Linked DNA regions of Coturnix japonica. The protein of the gene in region 2 purifies or fractionates together with the protein of the main gene of each other region. This does not show direct contact. Links are inferred from orthologs where the notes say so. Each region holds a gene or a part of one and is shown on either strand. Other genes may lie near its edges.

Region 1 (3,744 bases), on a different chromosome or scaffold from region 2:
TGAGGAACTGGGACAAGGAAAACAACTGCAGGGGGGCAGCAGGGACAGAGAACTTCCTCAGCCATCGAATGCAGACAGCTGAGAGCTGGTGGTGGGTGGGAAGATCAGATGTCACAGAATTCTTTCACAACTGGAAGAAATAAGTCAGGACGTGAATGAGCTCATGTCTCCCTCAGCAGCTGCTCTCAAAGCAAAGCCCTGCTGCTGCTCTGAACATTGAGATGTGCCTTCAGCTGTGATACTGAGGCACCAAACCCTAGTATAGCTTTGCTCTGATCCATCCCATACAGTTCCCTTCGCAAATCAGGAGGGAATCCTTTCCCAGAGCCAACTCACTTCAAGTCACCCCTAGAAAACCACAGCATAAGTTTAAAGCACTGCCCGTAGATGGGGATCTCACACATTACCTGAGAGCTCTGATCACTGCACCAGCCTGTAGGTGATGTAACGGCCTGCGGTCTCACTCGGTCTTATGATCTTCACCACCTGGAAGGGCAGCAAAAGGAGCAATGGGGGATGGCTGGTGTTACAGCAGCTGGTTCAGCAGGAAGCCAAGCCTGGCCCCAGGGCTATCTGCTGCCTTGCACACATCTCTACATAACCCATAACGTTCAGAAACAAAAACACTAACAAAGAGGAAACCTTTCCCATCTCCAAGCTCTGACACACTGTGCTGCAGCTCCCCATCCTGCCTGCAGGGCCCTGCTGTTTGTTATCAGGCTATTTGCTCTTACCTGGCCTCGCTTTATCCCGAAGTATCGGGCCACAGGATCCCCAGCCTGGATCCTGGGGAGTTGGTTCTCCCTCAGCTTACTGCATGGAGTCAAGGAGGAGCTCTGTGTCTGCTTGTCCTGAGGCAGGGCACAGCTAACAGAACATCACACACTCAAAGGAATCCATTTCTTGCCCAAGACAAGCACTCATCACACCCTGACTGCAAGGGAAGGACCAAACAAAGGATACTATCTGGCCAGCAGCTCGGTTACTTCTTCTTTTGTCATGACAACGTGCTCTGGGACCAGCTGTAAACAGGAGAGAGAAAGAGAGATCATAAGAGTCTGAGAAAGCAACCAGCTCTGCATAGCTGCAAGACTTGGGGGGAGGAACAAAGCTCTGGTGGGGAAACCCAGCACAGGGCAGGGCTGGGAGGGCCGGCCTGAATCACTCACCTCGTGTTCTGTGATGTTGATCAGGAGCTCCTGCTGTAAGAACTGCTCCAGGATGTATTTGGGAGCCATATCGACCAAGGACTGGGAAGGGAGAAGCACATCAGGTTGTAGCACTGATATGAGACAGTGTGAGCTCAGAGATGCCCCAAGATGAACAGCAGCAGGAGGGCAACACGGTGTCTGTGCTCACATTGATATGGTCATATGGGCAGAGAGGAAACAGATCTCTGTGCCCAACCAGCACCAGCTCAGTGCACTCAATGTATAAGCCCAGTATTAAGGCACAGAGCCTGAACTCTGCCTTTATGGACCCAGCACAGCTCAAAGAGCCCCGGGGCCACATCACACTGTACCTGCTTTGCCGATGGGGTCATTCCCTGCTGCACCACGATCAGAGCCCGCGTGATGTTCTCCTCCTGCATGCGCTGGCAATACATCTTGATGGTTTTAATGCCGACTTTGGGTTCCTCTGAGGGAGGAAAAGAGCAGGGTGAGATTGAACCAGGAGCACCACCAGACCCCAACCTGACCCCAGCCCAGTTCTAACCTGGTCCCAGCCCAGTACTAACCCGGTCCCAGCTCGGTTCTAAGCCAGTCCCAGCCCAGTCCCAACCCAGTTCTAACCCGGTTCCAGCCCGGTCCTAACCCGGTCCCAGCCCGGTTCTAAGCTGGTCCCAACCTGGTCCAAACCTGGTCCCAGCCCGGTTCTAACCCAGTCCCAACCCGGTTCTAACCCGGTCCCAGCCCGGTCCTAACCTGGTTCTAACCCAGTTCTAACCCGGTCCCAGCCCGGTTCTAACCCGGTCCCTACCTGGTCCTAACGCGGTCCCAGCCCAGTTCTAACCCAGTCCTAACCCGGTCCCAACCTCGTTCTGACCCGGTCCCAGCCCGGTTCTAACCCAATTCTAACCTGATCCTAACCCGGTTCCAACCTGGTTCTAAGCCGGTCCCAGCCCAGTCCCAACCCAGTTCTAACCTGGTTCCAGCCCGGTTCTAAGCTGGTCCCAACCTGGTCCAAACCCGGTCCCAGCCCGGTTCTAACCCAGACCCAGCCCAGTCCCAACCCGGTCCTAACCTGGTCCTAACCCAGTTCTAACCCAGTCCCAACCCGGTCCCAGCCCGTTTCTGACCCGGTTCCGACCCGGCCCCGTTTCTCACCGGGGAAGAACACGAACATCTGGTCCGTGGGATCATCGTTATGTGCCACCAACACGGTCAGGTCCGTTCGGCGCGGGCGGCCTTCGCTGGGTTTATCCCCGAACTGAGCTTTAAACTCCTCCAACGTCTGATCCAACTCGTCCTGAGTCACCAGGTAACCGCGGTCATGGCACAGCTAAAGGGAAATACAACATATGAGACCTGAAACCGGACCGAATCGAACCGAACCGAACCGGGCCGGCCCGCACCTGCATGATGGTCTTGCGGATCTTCCACAGCCGGTACGTCTCCTCCTCGTCGTCCATGTTGCCTCCTGAAGGACCCCACGAGGCTGCCCGCCTCAATGCCTGTCCACAACGAGCAGGCGGGGCTGCCCTGCGAGGGGTCCTTGACCGCGGGGAACGCTGGGAGATGTAGGCGGGGTGGAATGGCGGAAGGACACCACCCCCTTGTTGACACTGCAGCAGCCTCGCTGATTTGATTGGTGGTTTCGCCTGTCTATCACCCAAGGGAGCGGCTCGCATTGCGCAACTGCAAGAAGTGGGCGGTGCCTTCGCGCGTCCTAATCGCTGATTGGTCAAAGGGGGGGAGAGCGGTGGCGGGATGGGGTGGGGGTGGCGTTGCGGGCGGGCGCTGCTGTGCGGGGCGGCGGCGGCGAGAGGAGCGGGGCGGACAATGGTGAGTGGGGGGGGACAGAACAGAACCGAACCGAACCGAACCGGGTCGGTACTGGGGGGGTTGGGGGGGTTCGGAGCCGCTTTGTGACCGCTGGGCCCCGCAGTGCGCGCAGGCGGATGAATGGCGATCGGCCACCTCCATCTATGACTTCCACGCCACGGATATCGACGGCCGAGACGTGGCCTTGGAGCAATACAGGTCTATTAGATATATATATTATATAGACATTATATAGACATTATAGAGACATTATATGTACCATACAGCAACACAGCAATGGGCTGTATTATATACCCCCCCCCCCATTTTACCCCCGCAGAGGTTCCTTTTACCCCCTATTTTACCCCATTTTACCCCATTTTTACCCCCTATTTCACCCCTTTTACCCCCTATTTTACCCCATATTACCCCATATTTTACCCCATATTACCCCTTTTACCCCCACAGAGGTTCCTTTTACCCCCTATTTCACCCCCTTTACCCCCTATTTTCCCCATATTACCCCCACAGAGATTCCTTTTACCCCATTTACCCCCACAGAGGTTCCTTTTACCCCCTATTCTACCCCATTTACCCCCACAGAGGTTTCTTTTACCCCCTATTTTACCCCATTTACCCCCACAGAGGTTCCTTTTACCCCCTATTTTACCCCATTTACCCCCACAGAGGTTCCTTTTACCCCCTATTTTACCCCTCCAGGGGTTTCGTCTGCATCATCACCAACGTGGCTTCCAAATGA
Region 2 (3,744 bases):
GTCATTTTCAGCACACCATCCAGTAACCTTAATTGCAGTCCTACAGGTTAAGACCTGGTCTGCAGCTTTCAAACACTACCACAGCCTCTCACTCTGTTTCAATTCCCATATGGGGAAGGTAAGATTACACACACACAGGTTGTGTGTGGGCACCTGGGAAAAAAGACCTCAGCCCCGTCTGTGACCTGTTGTCAAAGCAATACAAGAAATCGATGCAGTCAAACAGCTTGACAGCAGAAAATAGGAATCGTTCCCCAAAGTACCAGAGTGTGTCCAATGGCAGAGAAAACGGCATTTCGGAGCTTCAGAACGACTCTCCGGGGATGTCTACCTAATAAAGAGAAGCGACAGCTTATTTTTTAAGAGCAGCACAATTGCTTCTGCAGCTCCGTGCTTCTCGAGGATCAGCGTCGTCTGAGGCAGCGTCTGCCCTCAAACCCTCATTAGTATCTGCTTCAGCTTTGTTAGCTACAGCAAGGAGTTTTACCATTCCAGGCAAAGGCGAGACTGCTTCCAAGGCAGCGCTAATAACGAGAGCAGGCTGCTAACGGCCCCTGTAAGCTGGGAGCCTGTTCAATAGCCAGGCCCAAAATAAAACTGCTTGGCATGACCAGGGCAGAGAGGTGCCTGATTAGAACTTTGGGGAATCGTGACACGACTGAGAGCAAAACTTTTAACCAGATGGTCCCGTTCATTTCAACAGCCTGTTGGAACAAAATATTCATGACTCCCTTCTAAATAAAACCGCAGCTGGTACTATAATGTACCCCCATTATGCAGGCGTTTACGGTCAAGTTGACAGTGGAAAAATACAGGCACACACACATTGCACATCTGGGAAGGATGGGTTGGCATTGCCTTTAATCCACACGAGCTGCATGCTGGATTCAAAGGGCCGACCAGGTCCTTCCACAGCTCGTTCTCTTCTCCACATCCAAAGAATGGATGGTTGCCTGGTTGGTTGGTTGGTTTGAAGGAATAACTATTTTCAGGCTTGTTGTTGTTTTGTTTCTGATGGGAGTTTTCAAGTAATTGAAGCAGCTCCTCTGCAGGCATGGAAAGGCAGGGGGGAGAGCAAGAGTGGGAAGAGGTTCAGCTACCTGCAGTTACACAGGATTAAATGCAATGTCCAGCCACAGCCTCACAGTGCTTGGGATCTCCCTTCAAGGACTGAGATCTTCAGACCCTCCCCAGCTGCCCACCAGCTCTCCTTCACTGCTGTGAACAAATCATAACTCCATCATGTCCCACCTGCAGCTCCTGGATACACCAGCACAACCCACCACGCACAGGGACCTCACAGGTAACCTCATCTGATTATACAAGGGTGAAAGTAACAGCAAGCCCTGCCTGGGAGAACTTTCTTGGGACTCAAACAACAGGAAGGAACACGTGTCCTTGAATGTAAGCAAATGTACGCGATACATCACTGCACCCCAGCACAGTCACCTTGGAGATGTGAAATGTCTTCAGGGCTGAGTCAGTGTCAGAACAGCAGGGCCGGGCTGTGAGCCTGGCGGCGGCGTTAAAGGATAATACGTTTGCCATCTGTCAGGGACATGAGGCAACTCATCCCACTGCTCGGCTCTGCCGTCTGACCCCTCTGCAGTGCTGCTCTGAGCACCTACGTCTGCTCACCCCGTGCAGGAAATGCTGTGTGCCAACCTGGGGGGGAGCGGGGCAGTGGGAGTGGGTGGCTCAGAGGGACAGGGCACAGGATATCCCAGCACTGTCATTGTGGGTCGCCACGACTTGCTTGGTGACACACAGGAGGCTGGGAGGTCTCAGCCCGTGGATCTGGCTCACTCTGGCTCTGCACACATATACAGATGGCAGCAGGTTCAGCATCACCTCTGGATGGATCAGGCAGGGTTGAGCACAGGGACAGTGGCAGCGCAGGGGGGAAATGGAGGGTGGGTTTGAGTTCTCATAGCTCTCCTGAATCTAGGAGAGCTAGATTCTAGGCTGCCGTGTCTGTGGGGTATTCGGCCTTTCCTTGCCATGCTCCTCCAGCTGCATGGTTAATAAGGGTGAACCTCTTCTGGGTACTCAGACACACAGAACCCCAGCAGGAAACAAAGCAGCCTCAGCTCCCATAGAAGCGTGCAGGGAAAGGGCAGTCAGACCCACAACAAGGAGTGGGAATTCACGCTTCCTGTGCCCTCTGCATCACTGTGCAACGTGCCCAGGTCACAGCAGGGCGATGCCCCTACCGGGAACTCAAACATTTCTGACAGGGTTACCCTGGGCCACAAACGCTGGTTGTCAGGACCCTCGTACGAACACCTTTAACCCCACAGCATTGATTTTGAACAGGAAAGAGGATGACTCAGCCTGCACAAGCCTTCCTCTTTCTCCCAACGCCCAGAAACAGACAGTGCTGCCCTGGGACTGCCCGTCCTTTACTTATCAGCCCATCAGAGCAGCAATACGGGGCAATAACAGCTCGGCACGGCTCCTGCTGCTGCACACCCGGCCCTGCCCCACCTCGGTGACCCCAACTACGGGCCCGGCTCAGAGCAGAGCAGCTGCCAACCCCCCCATAGACCCCAGCGGGGAGAGAAAGGGCAGAGGGAGCATCCCTGCGGGGTGATGCCGTGGTGAGGCCGGCCCGGCGCTGTGCGGCCGCCGTTACCATTTGATGATGTCGTGGACGAGCGGCAGGAAGGAGAACTCCTCCTGCGCTGCTGCCGGCGGGGCGGGCGGCGGTTTCTGCTCGGTGGGCGGCTCGGCCGGCGGCGGCTCCTCGGCGGCCCCTCGGCCTGCGGACACCACCGAGGCCATGGCGGCCCCCGGCGCCGAGCAGTGACGGAGCGGGGCGGAGCTCGGCCGCTCTGTACCGCCCCGGCGGCGGCCTGGGCTGAGCATCAGATGCTGCTTGTGTGTGGGGCTCAGTTTGGGCCTGGGCAGGAGGTTGGGGTGTGGGGATGCTGCGGGCCGTGGCCTGGGGCTGAGGCCTGGGCCGGAGCGGGGCTCGGAGGCCTCCCTGGGTCCTGGGCTGTGAGGGTGGGTGTGGGGGCTGAGCCCGGGGTCAAGCTTTGGGACTGGGTCTCAGATATGGGACTGCACTGCTGCTGAGGTGTTCCCCAGCTGAGCCGGGCCTGTGCTCCCAAGGCAGTGCCCTGCACACCCACACTGAGCACCCCACAGTGTGACCTACAGCATCCCTGACCTGTGTGCAGCCCAACTGTTCCTGGCTGTCCTCGTTGGAGAGGAGGGCCATGGAGATGCTGTGAGGGCTGGAGCACCTCTCCCATATAAAGGCAGGCTGAGGGAGTTCAGCCTGGAGAAGAGAAGGGCTTTCAGGGCTTGGAACTGGAGAAACCTGAAGGAATGGAGGCAAAAATCCAGCAGCAGGGCTGAGACATCCATGAAGCTGCAAGGAGGGGAGAGGTGGGGTTCTTGGGTGCCTGGGCTGTGAGTGCAAGGGGGTGATGGAGAACACGCTGCATGGAAGGTGAGGGTGAGCAGTGCTGCCCCTGTGCACCATCAGGAGTGTGCTTCAGCAAACTGCTGCTGCCGCGTTTAAACCGCTCTGTCAATACACACTATTGTAGCACTGATAACAGCAGCCACAGTCGTGAGTTATCCTTCCTGGATTGGCTTAGAGAGCACAGATAATTTTGTTTTTTATTTGAATTCAGCTCCCGGGTTCATCAGTTAGTTATAGCCCAGGGATGACGGGAAAGGTAATTTTCATTTTAAAAAACAATTTCTTTTGAAAAGCGAACTATTTATGTATCA

The links.
Region 1: the proteins of MED9 (region 2) and POLR2E purify together in Homo sapiens (affinity purification with mass spectrometry; 4 studies listed by BioGRID and IntAct, with this or other methods). This does not show direct contact. The link is inferred for Coturnix japonica from reciprocal best matches to the Homo sapiens genes MED9 and POLR2E.

The regions. Positions count from the first base shown.
Region 1 is NC_029543.1:2,009,119-2,012,862, forward strand, and holds the start of POLR2E (DNA-directed RNA polymerases I, II, and III subunit RPABC1), read right to left. Parts: upstream 2,712-3,744; 5' UTR 2,633-2,711; coding exon 2,576-2,632; intron 2,503-2,575; coding exon 2,328-2,502; intron 1,639-2,327; coding exon 1,523-1,638; intron 1,251-1,522; coding exon 1,170-1,250; intron 1,023-1,169; coding exon 964-1,022; intron 814-963; coding exon 735-813; exon of another isoform or gene 487-734; coding exon 421-486; 3' UTR 408-420; intron 131-407; 3' UTR 1-130. UniProt on the Homo sapiens protein: DNA-dependent RNA polymerase catalyzes the transcription of DNA into RNA using the four ribonucleoside triphosphates as substrates.
Region 2 is NC_029529.1:4,804,426-4,808,169, reverse strand, and holds the start of MED9 (mediator of RNA polymerase II transcription subunit 9), read right to left. Parts: upstream 2,820-3,744; 5' UTR 2,785-2,819; coding exon 2,636-2,784; intron 1-2,635.